Coturnix japonica: one gene and its partners. The protein of the gene in region 3 purifies or fractionates together with the protein of the main gene of each other region. This does not show direct contact. Links are inferred from orthologs where the notes say so. Each region holds a gene or a part of one and is shown on either strand. Other genes may lie near its edges.

What was found.
Region 1: the proteins of ACTB (region 3) and CORO1C fractionate together in Homo sapiens (co-fractionation; 3 studies listed by BioGRID). This does not show direct contact. The link is inferred for Coturnix japonica from reciprocal best matches to the Homo sapiens genes ACTB and CORO1C.
Region 2: the proteins of ACTB (region 3) and EEF1A1 fractionate together in Homo sapiens (co-fractionation; 3 studies listed by BioGRID, with this or other methods). This does not show direct contact. The link is inferred for Coturnix japonica from reciprocal best matches to the Homo sapiens genes ACTB and EEF1A1.

The regions. Positions count from the first base shown.
Region 1 is NC_029530.1:5,715,034-5,719,595, forward strand, and holds the start of CORO1C (coronin-1C), read right to left. Parts: upstream 2,948-4,562; 5' UTR 2,869-2,947; coding exon 2,556-2,868; intron 1-2,555. UniProt on the Homo sapiens protein: Plays a role in directed cell migration by regulating the activation and subcellular location of RAC1. Increases the presence of activated RAC1 at the leading edge of migrating cells.
Region 2 is NC_029518.1:74,352,341-74,357,042, reverse strand, and holds the start of EEF1A1 (elongation factor 1-alpha 1), read right to left. Parts: upstream 2,948-4,702; 5' UTR 2,819-2,947; intron 2,074-2,818; 5' UTR 2,027-2,073; coding exon 1,883-2,026; intron 868-1,882; coding exon 688-867; intron 559-687; coding exon 262-558; intron 1-261. UniProt on the Homo sapiens protein: Translation elongation factor that catalyzes the GTP-dependent binding of aminoacyl-tRNA (aa-tRNA) to the A-site of ribosomes during the elongation phase of protein synthesis.
Region 3 is NC_029529.1:4,231,848-4,236,588, forward strand, and holds the start of ACTB (actin, cytoplasmic 1), read right to left. Parts: upstream 2,982-4,741; 5' UTR 2,849-2,981; intron 2,093-2,848; 5' UTR 2,087-2,092; coding exon 1,964-2,086; intron 1,631-1,963; coding exon 1,391-1,630; intron 866-1,390; coding exon 427-865; intron 122-426; coding exon 1-121. UniProt on the Homo sapiens protein: Actin is a highly conserved protein that polymerizes to produce filaments that form cross-linked networks in the cytoplasm of cells.

The DNA of each region.
Region 1 (4,562 bases), on a different chromosome or scaffold from region 3:
CAACTTAGGTCAGCAGCTAAATTTAGCTTGCTTGCAAATATGCATCAATTCCATCGGTGCAATAAATCATGGCAGCGGCGATCCTGACACGCCTTATAAGTAACGCATTCAACCTTCCTTGCCAGAGCAGCAATGTTCGTTCTAGTTCAGAAAAGGTGAAGAAAGCAACACCAGGAGGCACATGGGTTATTTGCAAAGCTTTGGGGCATCGCTGCTCAGAGCTGTGGCTCTCAGCACTGCTGCAAAATCACTTTGCTCTCAGCATCAGAAGCAAACCCCCAGGAGTGCGTTTCCCCTGGGCATCCCACTAAGAGAATAAGAGCTTAAGCTATAAATGAGACATTAGGACATGGAAAATAGGGTGGCACAGACAGCCTGCTCCATGGGGGCCTGAGCAGTGCTCCTAAGGGCAGGGCAGAGCCATCCCAGCCACGCAGTCTTTAGGAAGTCACTTGGGGGATGCATTTGTTACAAGCATTTCAATTTGCTGAAGTCCTGGTGGATAAATGGATTCTAAGTGAAGGGAAATGGCTCAAAGAGGGTTCAGAGAGATCAGCAAGTCCTGTTTTTGCCAGCTTAGCTGCTAAGTCACACCCAATACACCAGGCAGGAGAGTTTGGGACTGCGGGCATCCCAATTATATGACTTTTCCAGGACCAGTTCAGCTTTCAGATCAAGCAAGCAAATCCCTTTTATTCAGTCCTTGGCCAGAAAGGGGAGCTGTGGAATTACAGAGCAAAGCTTACATGAGCAATGTGTCCCATCAGGTTGGGAAAGGGAGAAATGTGAGAGCAGGTCAGTGATGCAGACAGAAGGAAAGGTGAACGTGAGTTAAAGCAGCAGTGAGGAGCTGGAGCCCCCTGGATTTAGCACAGCCCTGCCCACCTCTGCGTGGCCCCATCCCTGCTTTAGGCCATGGCATTATCTATAATTCATACTGCTGCTGTGAATGATTTAACTCACAGTTCATAAGGCACATCTATTACTACCTATGCACACTCTCACGCGTGTTATGTATAGCCATATAGATGTCACAGCCAACCATTCCATAGGAAAGGCACAGAAATACCTGCTGCTACAGAGAGCTGATCTTTATATCAAACCCAAGCTCATCTTTTACCTTCCTTTTCCATTCAGGGCCTGGACCTGGGGATACCCATGGTCAGGGGATGGGGCTGTGAGCACTGATGGAGCTGTGGGTGTCCCTGAGCACTGCAGGCAGTGGGAACAGATGCCTTTGGGGGTCCCTTCCGACTCCAACCATTCTACAGTCACACAATTATAACATCTTTTTCTCCATCTCTCTTGCAATGAAAGGCTGGTGGTCCCCACACCTCAACTAAACACCAAATAACCACGAAGCAATCGGTTGCAACGGATGGGATTTCTCTTTGTTGCTATCTCCGCTACGCCAGATGACTGACTATGGGAGAGAGACCAGAAAGCTGAACACACACACACACACACACACACACGCACAATAATAGCAGTAATGAAAAAAGCAAGCTGTATTTTATTTACAACACGGATATCCCAGGACTGACACTTCCTATCATTCTGAATAGAAGGAATAAAGTCAGGCAGGCAGCAGGGGGTGAGCGGGGCTGTGAGCGGGGCTGCGTGCGGGTCTCCGTGTCATCCCATGTCCTCATTAGTCAACCAGTTTGGAAGCCTTTTGCCATCTCGTTCTGTTTCTCTCCCTGCTGTCTAGGATCAAGTTGGGCCAAAGGTGCTGGAAAAATCAGAGGTAATAAGAAAGGCATCACACAGCGGTACATGGAAGCGAGATGTCCTTGCGCAGCGCGAGGCGTGGGCAGCAGGTTTGCTCAATGGGCTGCAGGAACAGAATTGTTCCCTATCACCCCAGGAGGGATCTGCTCACAGTGTGATCACCCCTATGGAGAGTTACCCCTGTGGGATAACTTGCCTTTGGCTTTTAAGTAACAGCATCAATCTGTTCCAAAGCAGCACAGATTCCCTGCGCCCTGACATTTATTTTCCTTTATAAGGAAATCCCCAATCGCGGACTGTCAATAGACCAAAGGTGCAGCTTCACCATCACGGCCCGACACGTCCTCAAACACACTCATTTCTAACCTCTCCCTGTTGCTGTTTCACCGTTAAAATCCCAGCAGAGCTCACTTATTCACAGCTTTGCAGAGGGACGGCTTCCAACTGATGTCATGAACTCACACAGCCAAGTCCCGGAGCAGGAAAAAAGAACCCGAGGATGACAACACCTCCTGGTTACACCGTAATTAAACTGCTACGGGATGGCCCGGTGTGCAGAGAGGCAAAGAAGCACAGGTGAAAGCGTGAAGAAGTGCCATGCAGTCTCTCCTGTGTTAGATCTGTTCATGAAAAGCATCCGAGCTGGGCTTGGCACTCATTTACTAATTGCACCAAGGGCTCCGGGAGAACCATGACACAGCAAAGCCCCACCTCACACAGCACCCATCAGAATAATCCATCCCCGATACAACCCCAGCTCTGCAGCCCCCAACCCCACACCCACTTTGCAGAGCAGTGCCCCACTCCCCCTGCTGCCCCCTCACCTTTCCGTGTGCTGCTAACCGCTGCCTTCCCCTCCGCTTTCGCCTTCTCAAAGGTTTTCTTGGCATCAGCCACTTTGAGCACTTTCTCCTCCTCCTCTTCCTCCTCCTCCTCGCTCTTCCTCCCCTGCTCCTTCGGGCCCCCTCCTGTTGGCTCCTTCCCCCCTGGCCGGGCCGCAGGGCTGCATGGCTCCAGCAGTGCCTCGCTCAGTGCTACGGTCTTGCTCATGCTCAGCGCCAGGCTCTCCTTACTGTGCGTCCTGACCGGTGGGGCCGGAGGTGATTTTTTCTGGCTGTACGACTCCAGCATCTCCATATCCACATCTGCTCCAAGCCATTCCCTGCTCTCCGCCACCTGGGTGCTGTTCTGCCTCGTGAGCTTCCCAGCATCTCTGGCTGCACGGCTCTTTGTGAGCTGCCCATCCTCTCCGTTCTGGCACGGTGCAAAGCCCAACACCTGCATGAATCCATCTCGGGGGCTGTGGGACAGCGGTGCCCCCGCCTCCTGCCTGCTCTGCAGGATGTAATCCATCAGCTCGAAGCTGTCTGACCTGGCTGGGACGCGGGGTTTGCCACCCTCCATGGGGCAGCCCGGCGCTTTGCTCCCCACCCGCAGCTCCACGCTGCTCTCCGAGTACGAGCGGATCAGTGGGGCTCCCCGCAGCACATCAATCCGATGGAGCCTGGGGCTCGCCGTCACCCCATTCCCTGGGCAGCCCTCCTGCTGTCCCAGCCCCTGGTTCTCAGGCTCCCACTCCTCCTCGGGGCCTTCTTCTGCCTCCTTCAGCAGCCGTCGATACTCGCTCTCCTCCAGCCTGTAGACCACCGGCCTCACCGTGCGCCCGCTGCCGGCCCGATGCTGCCCCACCTGCATCTCATACACCTTAGGAGGGCTTTCTCCTTCCATCCCCGCGGAGCTCATGGCGGGGCCGTGTGCCCGGATCGTGGCACCCAGGCCCTGCTGACGAGGCTGCGGGCTGCGCTCCTGGCGTGCTACTGCAGAACCTCCCCGGGACGTGGCGCAGTCTGTGCCTCGTGCCTGGCTTGTGTCATCCCGTAAATATCCACAGGACTGCCAGGTGGAGGCTGCCATGCTCAGCGCCCCGCTTCCACCAGGGCTCACTGCCTTCTCCTTGCTCAGTGCTGGCGTTGCAGGGGCTTCTCAGCCTCGTGGCCGAGGTCTGCCCGCTGGCATGACACAGCTCCTAGCGCAGGGCCTGGGGTCACTCTGTGCAGCGCCCATCACCGCACCACGTGCTGCCCCATGGTGCTTTACGGGCAGCGCTCCCTCTGCATCCTCCTTCAGGTTCTCTCCTCCTTTCCCCAGCGGTCACAGCTCCTCGCTCCCCTCTGCTCTCAGTGATTTGGGGTCAGGCCCACCACTGGGGCAGGGTCACCCTTCAGCAGGAGCTCTGGGCTCACCCCGCAGCTGCCGCCCGCTTGCTGCTCGCTGGGACGCAGCGCTGCTGGCGCAGGGCCCCCAGGAGGGCCGGGCCGGCTGCAGTGAGCGCAGGGATGGATCAGTGCTAAGGGAGTTTCTATGGCATCACTAACAGCGGAGCCCAACATCAGCCACGCTCAGAAACAAGATTCCTATAAGACATTCCAAGGCATAACTTAGCAAAAATCTCTACGGATGTAGCGGGTGCTTCTCTAAACACTGCTGGGAGCTCAAAGTTCTCCCCTTTGGATGTGGTCACCGTTGCCAAGCGGGCTCTGGGAGCTCAGCCACGGGGGGAGCGGGTGCCTGGCACCGGGCTCCATCCCAGCGCTTCCCCAGCGCTTTGCCTTTTATGGTGCAGTGCTGCCCTGGGGCGGGATCCCTGTGTCAGATGTAGAAAAACTCCCAAATTGGCCCAAAGGGCACCGAGCCGCTGCTGCTCCCCCACTGCTCACAGCCCTGCACAGGGATATGGCAGAGCATGGTCCCCCCCCTCCCCATACAAAACCCAAACACATTACTTTCTCCTATAGATAAAAGACTTCACCCTGAGCTTCGGGCTCAGCTCC
Region 2 (4,702 bases), on a different chromosome or scaffold from region 3:
TAACAAAACAGCCCCCAACCGTCAGTCATCTGCCCATGTTAATAGAACGAAGCTATGAAACAACTGGCCTAACTCCTTGCATCATCTTCATTACTGCAGAATAACAATTCATAAAGCACTAGGATTTCACACTGACCCCAACATTTCAAAATACTACTACTGAAAAAACCCAAACCCACGTATTTAACTATTGTTTAACTTATCTTAATGATCCTGCTAGTTCCATTTCCTAATATTAAAAAGGAAAACAGGGAAACCTACGTTAGAGCTGGGCTCCAGCATGTTGTCCCCGTTCCAACCAGAGATTGGCACAAAAGCTACAGTGTCTGGGTTGTAGCCAATTTTCTTGATGTAAGTGCTGACTTCCTTGACGATCTCTTCGTATCTCTTCTGGCTGTAAGCGGGCTCAGTGGAATCCATCTTGTTAACACCAACGATCAGCTGTTTCACACCCAGGGTGTAGGCCAGAAGAGCGTGCTCGCGGGTCTGCCCGTTCTTGGAAATACCGGCCTCGAACTCACCAACACCAGCAGCAACAATCAGGACAGCACAATCAGCCTTTGAAAAGGTAGAAAAAAGCCCTTGTTAGAAAGCCTACACGCACACTAAAGCACATGGGCAATTTCCCTGCTGTAAACCAGCCAAGGAGCAGCTTCCCTCAACTCCCCACATCCTTTATTTCCTTACCTGAGAAGTTCCAGTGATCATGTTCTTAATGAAGTCTCTGTGTCCAGGAGCGTCGATGATGGTGACGTAGTACTTGCTTGTTTCAAATTTCCACAGGGAAATATCAATAGTGATACCACGCTCACGCTCAGCCTTGAGCTTGTCCAAGACCCAGGCGTATTTGAAGGAACCTTTGCCCATCTATGGGTTTGAAACAGGAAAAAAAAACCCCTCAAGATATATATTTTCATTTACCTCACCAAGACCATGAAATACACACTAACGAGCAAAGTTATTAATAGGGAGTGACTTACACTGAAAGCTGCTGTTGCTCATAAAACTCTGGCCTAGGTTCACTTGGCACTACTACCAAGATATGCCAACTGCTCTGTCATTTAACCTGCTGACACTTCAGCCCTCTTGACAACTTGTTAATTGTGCTAACACATCTTTATGATGGATCTCTTAAGGCTTAGTCCTACTATCAAGTGTCCACTACAAATTTTAGCTTAGTTACTAATGCCATCCCTGCTCCAGTTGGTATTTTAACAGCCACACAGCCCAGCATTCACTGCATTTCCTTTTATCATGTGCTTACGAGGTGCTATTTTATCACTAAAACAAAACAAAGGAAAACTGGAATACTTCCACAGGTTCACATAATGGTACCTTAGACTCTCCCACCTTGAGACAAGGCTGATCATTACATTTTCAACTAAACTACAAGATGACATGAGACAACAGTCTAAAGCTGTGCCAGGGGAGGTCCAGATTGGATATTAGGAGTAATTCCTACTCCATAAGAGCAGCAATGCATTGAAACAGGCTGTGCACAGAGATGGTGGAGTCACTACCCTTGAAGTGTCCAAGAAACCTGCTGACGTGGCACTGAGGGACATGGTTAGTGGCCATGGTGGGGATGGGCTGATAGTTGGAGTTTCAAGGTCTTCTCCAACATTAACGATTCTGTAATTCTCAATCCAGGCCGAGAATGAAGATGGGAGCTCCCATTTTGATTCTAAGCGTTCAGATTTAGCTTCATGCTCTTTATTCTATGCTTCGATGACTTCACCTTAACATAACAGATTGAGTACTCTAGTTCAATTACCAGGACAATCTCGACCCAACCGCCTCCTTGTGGTAGTAAAACGTTCTGGTTTCCTTCCTTTTGCCCCTTATTCCCCCCAGTCTCCCACCACACGGCTGCCTCACACACCTCGGCCGCCTCCTTCTCGAACTTCTCGATGGTCCTCTTGTCGATGCCACCACATTTGTAGATGAGGTGCCCGGTGGTGGTGGACTTGCCGGAATCGACGTGGCCGATGACGACGATGTTAATGTGAGTCTTCTCCTTTCCCATTTCGGATGGTCTTTAGCTTCTTTCTTCCGGCCAAAGAGAAACGACACCTGAAAGTTCCAGAAGGAATCCCGGTTACAGCGGCCGCCCCCGTCCCGCAGCAGCGCCGCCCGCAGGGGGCAGAGGGCCCGTGTAGGCTCGGCCCCGCCCCACCGGGGGATGGGAGGGGGGAGTCGAGCAGCGGGGAGAGGCGGGCGGTGTTGGCGGCCCGTGTCCCCTCCGGCTCGCCCCCCTCCTCCGTCGCCCCCTCCCCGCATGGCGGCCGGGCCGGGCCGTGCTGGGGCGGCGGCGCGGGGCGGCGCGGAGGGCGGGGCCGCCCCTCTCCTTTGTGTGTGACTCACCCCGCCCGGGCCGCCGTCCTCCATTTTGTGAGCTGACGGCGGCAGGAAGAGCGGGCGGCCATTTTTTTTCTCGTGCCCCGGCCTTCCCTTCCCCCATCGCCCACACCGACGGCGCGGCCCCGCCATCCCCGGCCGCCACCCGCGTACGGCCGAGCACCGCACGCCGCACAGCAGCGCCAGGCGGCTCCGCAAGAAGCCGAAGCGGCGGTGCGGCCCCATGTGCTCATCGCGGCGCTGCCTCGCGTGAGCCCTCGGATGGGACACGTCGGCGTTACGCCGCCGCTCGCCCCGCTTCCCCCATCCGCCCCTTATCTCGCCATCCCCCCGCTCCGCCATCCCCACGCACCGCTGCACGGCGGCGCCTCAACCCCCCGCTCACGGTACATCCACGCACCCCCAGCATCCCCGCTCCCCCCACCCCCGGGCCCGGCCCGCCCCGCCGCACGCTCCTCACCCGCACGGCGTCGGCAAACCCGGAGCGGAAAAGAACGACGGCGTGAGCGCCGCCCCTTATATACCCTGCCACGGGGCGGGGCCTCGGCGCCGCGTCACGGCTCCCGGCGGGCCCAGCGCTAAGCCCCGCGCTAAGCCCCGCCCGGCAGCGCCGCACGCCGTGCTCCCCTGGGGGCGGCGGGGAGGGGCGGGGTGCGGATCCCAGCCCCGGGGGAGCCGGGCCGAGTGGCGGCCGGTCGGGACTCGCTGCCCCAATGCTGAACGGCATCGCCTGGAGCGCGGCCAGCCGGGATGGAGGTGCCGCTCCGCCGCCTCCCCCTCGGCACGGCAGCCATAGAGTCGCCGAGCTCCGCCTCAGGCCCGAGACTGCGGCCCGAGGGGACGCGGACAGCGAGCTGCGGGGTGGGAACTTGCAGACTAGCAGAGATCCCCGGTGGCCTCGCGTTTCACACAGGGCCAAGGAGATTCGCTTCAGCATCAATTCGGGGCTTCTGCTTGAGAGCTCCAAACTGCCCCGAGTGCCCCCATGCCGTACATTCCCGGCTGACAGGTGCCCCATGAGAGTCACCAAAGGTGCTGGCAGCCCCAGCCTTTGGCTTCTGAAACGGGGGCACCAGCACTGAAAGCCCTCGTGATTCCAGCAGGGTGTACTCGTGTAAAACACCTGTATGGCTTTCTAGTGGGAAATTAACCCCAGAAGGGAAACAAATACTTTATTCCTTTAATCACAGAACGACCTGGTTTGGAAGGGACCTCAAGGATCACCCCCTGCCTGGCAGGGCCACCAAACATACACATTTACTAGATCAGGTTGCCCAGGGCCCCATCCATCCTGGCCTTGAACACCTCCAAGGACGGGGCATCCACAACCTCCCTGGGCAGTCTGGGTTAAAAGGATCTGTTTTCTTCTTCTAAGAGAATGTAATGCACCCATGTTACAGTTACTTACGTGTACTCAACTGTAATCCCATTCAATTGTTGGCAGGGGCTCCACAGAACATGCTGAGTTGGAAGGCAGCCCCAGGGATCACCGCGTCCCACTCCTGGCTCCACACGTCTGAGAGCAGCATCCAAATGCTCCTTGAACTCCAGCACCGCGGGCCATACCCACCAATATATAACTATAGCTCACATCTAGGTGTTAAATCACTGAAGGCATTTGCTATGAAGGCAGAGTACCAGCATCTTCATTAAGTGACTTTTCATGGCTCAGGCTGAGGAGTAAGGGTCAATAACTAGTAAGAAAGCTGAGCACACCACATCTGTAAAACCAAGGCTGTAAACATGTCCACGAAGCTTTATTCTACAGGATGGTTTCTAGTTTAGCTTCTGCAATGCCTGTCAGTGGGGGTGTTTTTAGATGGATAAGTTTGTCCAAGTATCTGTTCTGCTAAAGCATAGTTGAAAACATTCAGCCACTTGCACCTCAGCAGGGGGAGGAGAAAGGAAATGTGTTACTGATTTCTTACGCGGCCCATAAGAAACTGCACAGTTATGGGATGTATTTAAAAGGCTTCCATAAATAAAGGCATATGGAAGCATGCATTTCTTAGGACAGCAGTTTCGTTGGTATATTCACAGCTGAAAGCCTGCCGAGTTGTTGGATAACCTTCTAACCATGCCCTAGTTAAGTCTTCAGCAGTCGTTCCTTTCCCCGTGCTTCTTTAATTGGATTTTCAAAGGAGTTTTTACCATTTCCTCTACAATCAAATAGATGCTTTTATTCTCTCGATAACTGGCGCATCTTTCCTCCATTCTATTAGCAGAACATTCCTATTATCAATCCTGTAAATATTTATACAGCTGGGGACCTTCAGATATGTGAGTATCCTCACATTGTTCGGTGCGAATGCCTTCTGAACTATCCTCTCAGCTAACACAGGCC
Region 3 (4,741 bases):
CCAGGGTACATTGTGGTACCACCAGACAGCACTGTGTTGGCATACAGGTCCTTACGGATATCAATATCACACTTCATGATTCTGTTGTAGGTAGTTTCATGGATACCACAGGACTCCATACCTGCAAGCAAAAAGCAGTGTCAGGTCAGTCAGCAGTTCAGGGTCAAGGAAGCCAAAGGACCTACTGCTATGGGAAGAGAAACAAAGACCCCATAGTGGGAAGCAACACAAGCAAAGCCATGGCTTACAGGCTCAGCCTCCTGGTTCTGACCTAGGTACCTCTATCATCCTCAGGCTGAGGAAGACAAAGACTGAAGTGGAATGGGACAGACCTGCTAAGGGCCAGCAGTACAATGGCAGCTGACTAGTCTCTAAGTCACTCTAGGCAGAAGGGGCACGGAATCTCCTAAAAGGAGTCAGACTTACCCAAGAAAGATGGCTGGAAGAGGGCCTCAGGGCACCTGAACCTCTCATTGCCAATGGTGATGAGTTGACCATCAGGGAGTTCATAGCTCTTCTCCAGGGAAGAGCTAGAGGCAGCTGTGGCCATCTCCTGCTCGAAATCCAGTGCGACGTAGCACAGCTTCTCCTTGATGTCACGCACAATTTCTCTCTCGGCTGTGGTGGTGAAGCTGTAGCCTCTCTCTGTCAGGATCTTCATGAGGTAGTCCGTCAGGTCACGGCCAGCCAGATCCAGACGCAGGATGGCATGGGGGAGGGCATAGCCTTCATAGATGGGCACAGTGTGGGTAACACCATCACCAGAGTCCATCACAATACCAGTGGTGCGACCAGAGGCATACAGGGACAGCACAGCCTGAATTGCTACATACATGGCTGGGACATTGAAGGTCTCAAACATAATCTAGAGAGATAAGAAAGCACTGAGTCAAGCAGAATAAACCAAGGTTCTCACTGCATGCCTACATCAGTCCATGCATGTGGTTTTACATTTGTCCCTAGATAAAGAGGCTTCTTTGCTCCTCTAGAAGGAGATATCAGTGCTTATCTCGCTTGGTCTCCACCCACACCTGCCAGGTTAGAGCCTGAGCAAGGACACTGCTACCACAGGCCCATCCACATGACACAGCAAGGAACGAAACAAAGGCCAAGGAACTACAGTATAGTCATTCAAGGCTGGTAAATGGATTAGTGTCTAGTCAGAAACAGCAGTTAGACAAGTTGCTAGTTCAGTCTCAGAGAAAGCCAGCTTAGAGCAAACAAAACCTGTCAAGGTCCAGCAAAGAGGAGACTCAGGTCAGGAAAGGAAAACCCTGTAAAGATGGCAAAAAGGGAGAAGTGGTGAAGGCGGATAGAGGACAACATGGAAGAGGAGAGCTGGCCTGCAGCAGCGCCTGCTGTAGCTCCAGGCTCAAAGGGTTTTACACACCTGTGTCATCTTCTCTCTGTTGGCTTTGGGGTTCAGGGGAGCCTCTGTGAGCAGCACAGGGTGCTCCTCAGGGGCAACACGGAGCTCATTGTAGAAAGTGTGGTGCCAGATCTTCTCCATATCATCCCAGTTGGTAATTATGCCATGTTCAATGGGGTATTTCAAGGTCAGGATACCTCTCTTGCTCTGCGCTTCATCACCTACATAGCTGTCTTTCTGACCCATACCAACCATCACACCCTGCACAACAAAGAAAAAGCTTTAAGTTTAACTCTAGGACAAAATCCAATGGATGAATAAAGGTTTTATTTCCCCCCCCCGCAGAAGCCACACCTTTAATCACTAACCCCCTACTGCCCCTACTCTGCCAGGTTAAGGACTGGAGCCATTGGCTCAACACGGGTTGCTCGGCAGGATGCTGTGTATTCAACCAGTTACTGTTGCAGAGTAGAAACCTCTTATGTCACACATGAAAGTAAAAGGGCTTCTGGAGGCTCCACGCCCTCAGCACAACCACTCCCACCGAACACTCCTCTCCATTGTCTGGATGCATCACTCCAGCCATTGCCGTACCTGATGTCTGGGGCGACCCACGATGGATGGGAACACGGCACGGGGGGCATCGTCCCCGGCAAAACCGGCCTTGCACATACCGGAGCCATTGTCAACAACGAGCGCAGCAATATCATCATCCATGGCTGGCTGCGAAGGAAGAGAGGAGGCAGTGAGATAGAAGCGCTGCCGGTCACGCACTAGAAGCCGGACCCCGCCCCGCCTCGCCCCCTATAGATCCCCCCAACGCTGGGGATGGATCGCGGGGCGGCAGCGCGGCAGCACGGCCCTCCTCCTCCCACCCATTTCCTTCCTGCCGGCTCCGCTTCGCCCCTCGCCCGCTAGAGGGGGTCAGGCGGCACCTCCCGGATTTGGGCTCGGCACAGATTTGGGACAAAGGAAGTCCCTGCGCCCTCCAACCATGACCATAAAAGGCAATGGCAGCTCCGAGCCGCGCCTCGACAGCCGCCGGCGCTATAGGGGCAGCCAGCCCCGCCCACCAGCCGCCCCCAACCACCGGCACCGCCCCGAGCCCCCAACGGCCCCGCACCCAGCACAGCCCCGCAGCCAGCACAGCCCGCGATCTGTAACAAGGATTGGGGGGGGGGGGCTGCACATGGGGGTACAGCTGCACATGGGGGGGGTTAAAGCTGCACATGGGGGTCACAACCCGACCCCCCCCCACCCCTCACTCCGCCTTTGTTCCCTCGCCCCCCGCCCCGCTCATCGCAGCACAAAGCGCCGAACCGCCCCGCGGCACCGGGCAGCACCGGCTCCGTTAACACACACACACACCCCGACTCACGCCCCCTCCCCAATACACAGCGCCCCCCCGCAGCCCCTCGGTGCTCCCCCGTATGGCACAATGGAGCTCTGCTGTCGCAGCGTTGCGGTCCGGCCGCTCACCTGTGTTTGTACCGCGGTCAGTCGGAGCCGGGTCGGGCGGCACGAGGCGGCTGGATGCGGAGCGGGGCGCGGGGCGAAGGCAGCGCAAAGCGACTCCCGCCCGCCGCCCGCTCCGCCTTTTATAGGGCCGCCGCCGCCGCCGCCTCGCCATAAAAGGAAACTTTCGGAGCGCGCCCTTCTGATTGGCTGTGGCCGCACCTCTCCCGCCTCGCCCCGCCCGCCCCCATCGCTGCACAAAATAATTAAGAAATAAATAAATAGGAAATTGGGGGGATGAAAGGGGAGAGGGGAGCGTGGGGCTCAGCTCCAGGTGAGGCTGAGCGGCGGGGTGTGACGCTCCCTTCCACCCCCACCCCCTTTTGATTCCATAGTGCTTTGATTCCATAATGCTTTGATTCCATAGTGCTTTGTTGGGGAGGGGATGCAGCCCTGCCCCCATCCCGGTGGTCCTGCGGTCCCCTTGAAGTCACCTCCCGGGGACAGGCGGCCATAGCGATGGGAGCTACGGGAGCTATGGGAGCTATGGGATCTATGGGTGCTATATGGGATCTATGGGAGCTGTATGGGATCTATGGGTGCTATATGGGATCTATGGGTGCTATGGGAGCAATGGGAGCAGTAGGAGCAATGGGAGCAATAGGAGCTATGGGAGCGATGGGAGCAGTGGGAGCGATGCGCACCGGCTGTGCATGCACTGAGCTGCAGCCACACTGATGTGCGTGCACCCAGCAGCAATAACAGCAGCCTGCGTGCATGCACTGAGCTGCAGCGATACAATGAGTGTGTGCACCCAGCAGCGATAGCTCCAGTGCGAGTGCATCATGCTGTGGGATGGAGTGATACAATGAGTGTGTGCGCAGAGCTGCAATAACAGCGAGGGCTGTGCGTGCACTAGGCTGCTACAGCAGCAAGGAACGTATCACGGCGCGTGCATGCACCGAGCTGCAATCACACCATCGGCCTGGTGCTGCAAGGGAGGGGATGGGGCACCAGGTGCATTGTTTGCACCCACCCCTCCCGGCCTGCAGCGCTACCCAGGGCCAAGTTCAGCGCTCATGTCAGCAAGTAGCGGTGCAAACCTCCCGGCCAGCCCTTGGACTGCTGGGTGCATCGCAGAGCCCATCAAGGGCCGTGCTTCGTTAGGGTGTGAGCTGCAGCGGCAGCAGCAGCCGGAGGGAGGAAACGAGAGCTGAGTAAGGAGCTGAGTCAGGCAGGGCCCGGCCCGGCGGAGGTCAGGGCAGCCGAGGGGCCTTTGCCTACATTTGGGCAATATTTTGTTTCTTTCCTGTTTGCAGCGTGTGCTGCGGGGTTGGACAGGGCGGTGCGTGGTGTTGGTGAGCAGCGCTGCATGGAGCTGGAGCTTTGCAGCTCCAGAGCGTTGTTGATTAATTGCATTGATTAAGGCGCCGTGCAAGAAGCACTGTGGGTGTTATGGGAGCGGGATCCAGCCCTGTGTGGGGTCTTGCAGTGAGGGCTTTGTCACTGGGATGCTGCAAGGCTGGGTTGTGCTGGGGCTGCGCTGTGTCCCCTCTGAACTGGAGGTGGCCATGGGGACGGAGCTGAGCTGCAGGGACACCACGGGGGTGACTTTGTCCCCTCTGAGATGGTGACATTGCAGCACATGGGCACCCGGTGCCAGGACAACATGGGCTCCGAGGTGCCGCATCTCTGTGTATCGGCCCCACTCGCAGCTAAAAGGGAGTCACACTGTTAATTACCTGCCTGCTGGGGAATTAATTAACGTTTGTGCTCCACTTTGACGAGGCCGGGTATTAATTAGAAGATTAGACGTCAAAGAAGGGCAGCCACGAGGCACGGGGACAGCGGGTGCAGTGCTGATAATGGGGTGGCAATGGGAAATGCCCCATGGTAGCCATGAAGCCATGGGTTTGG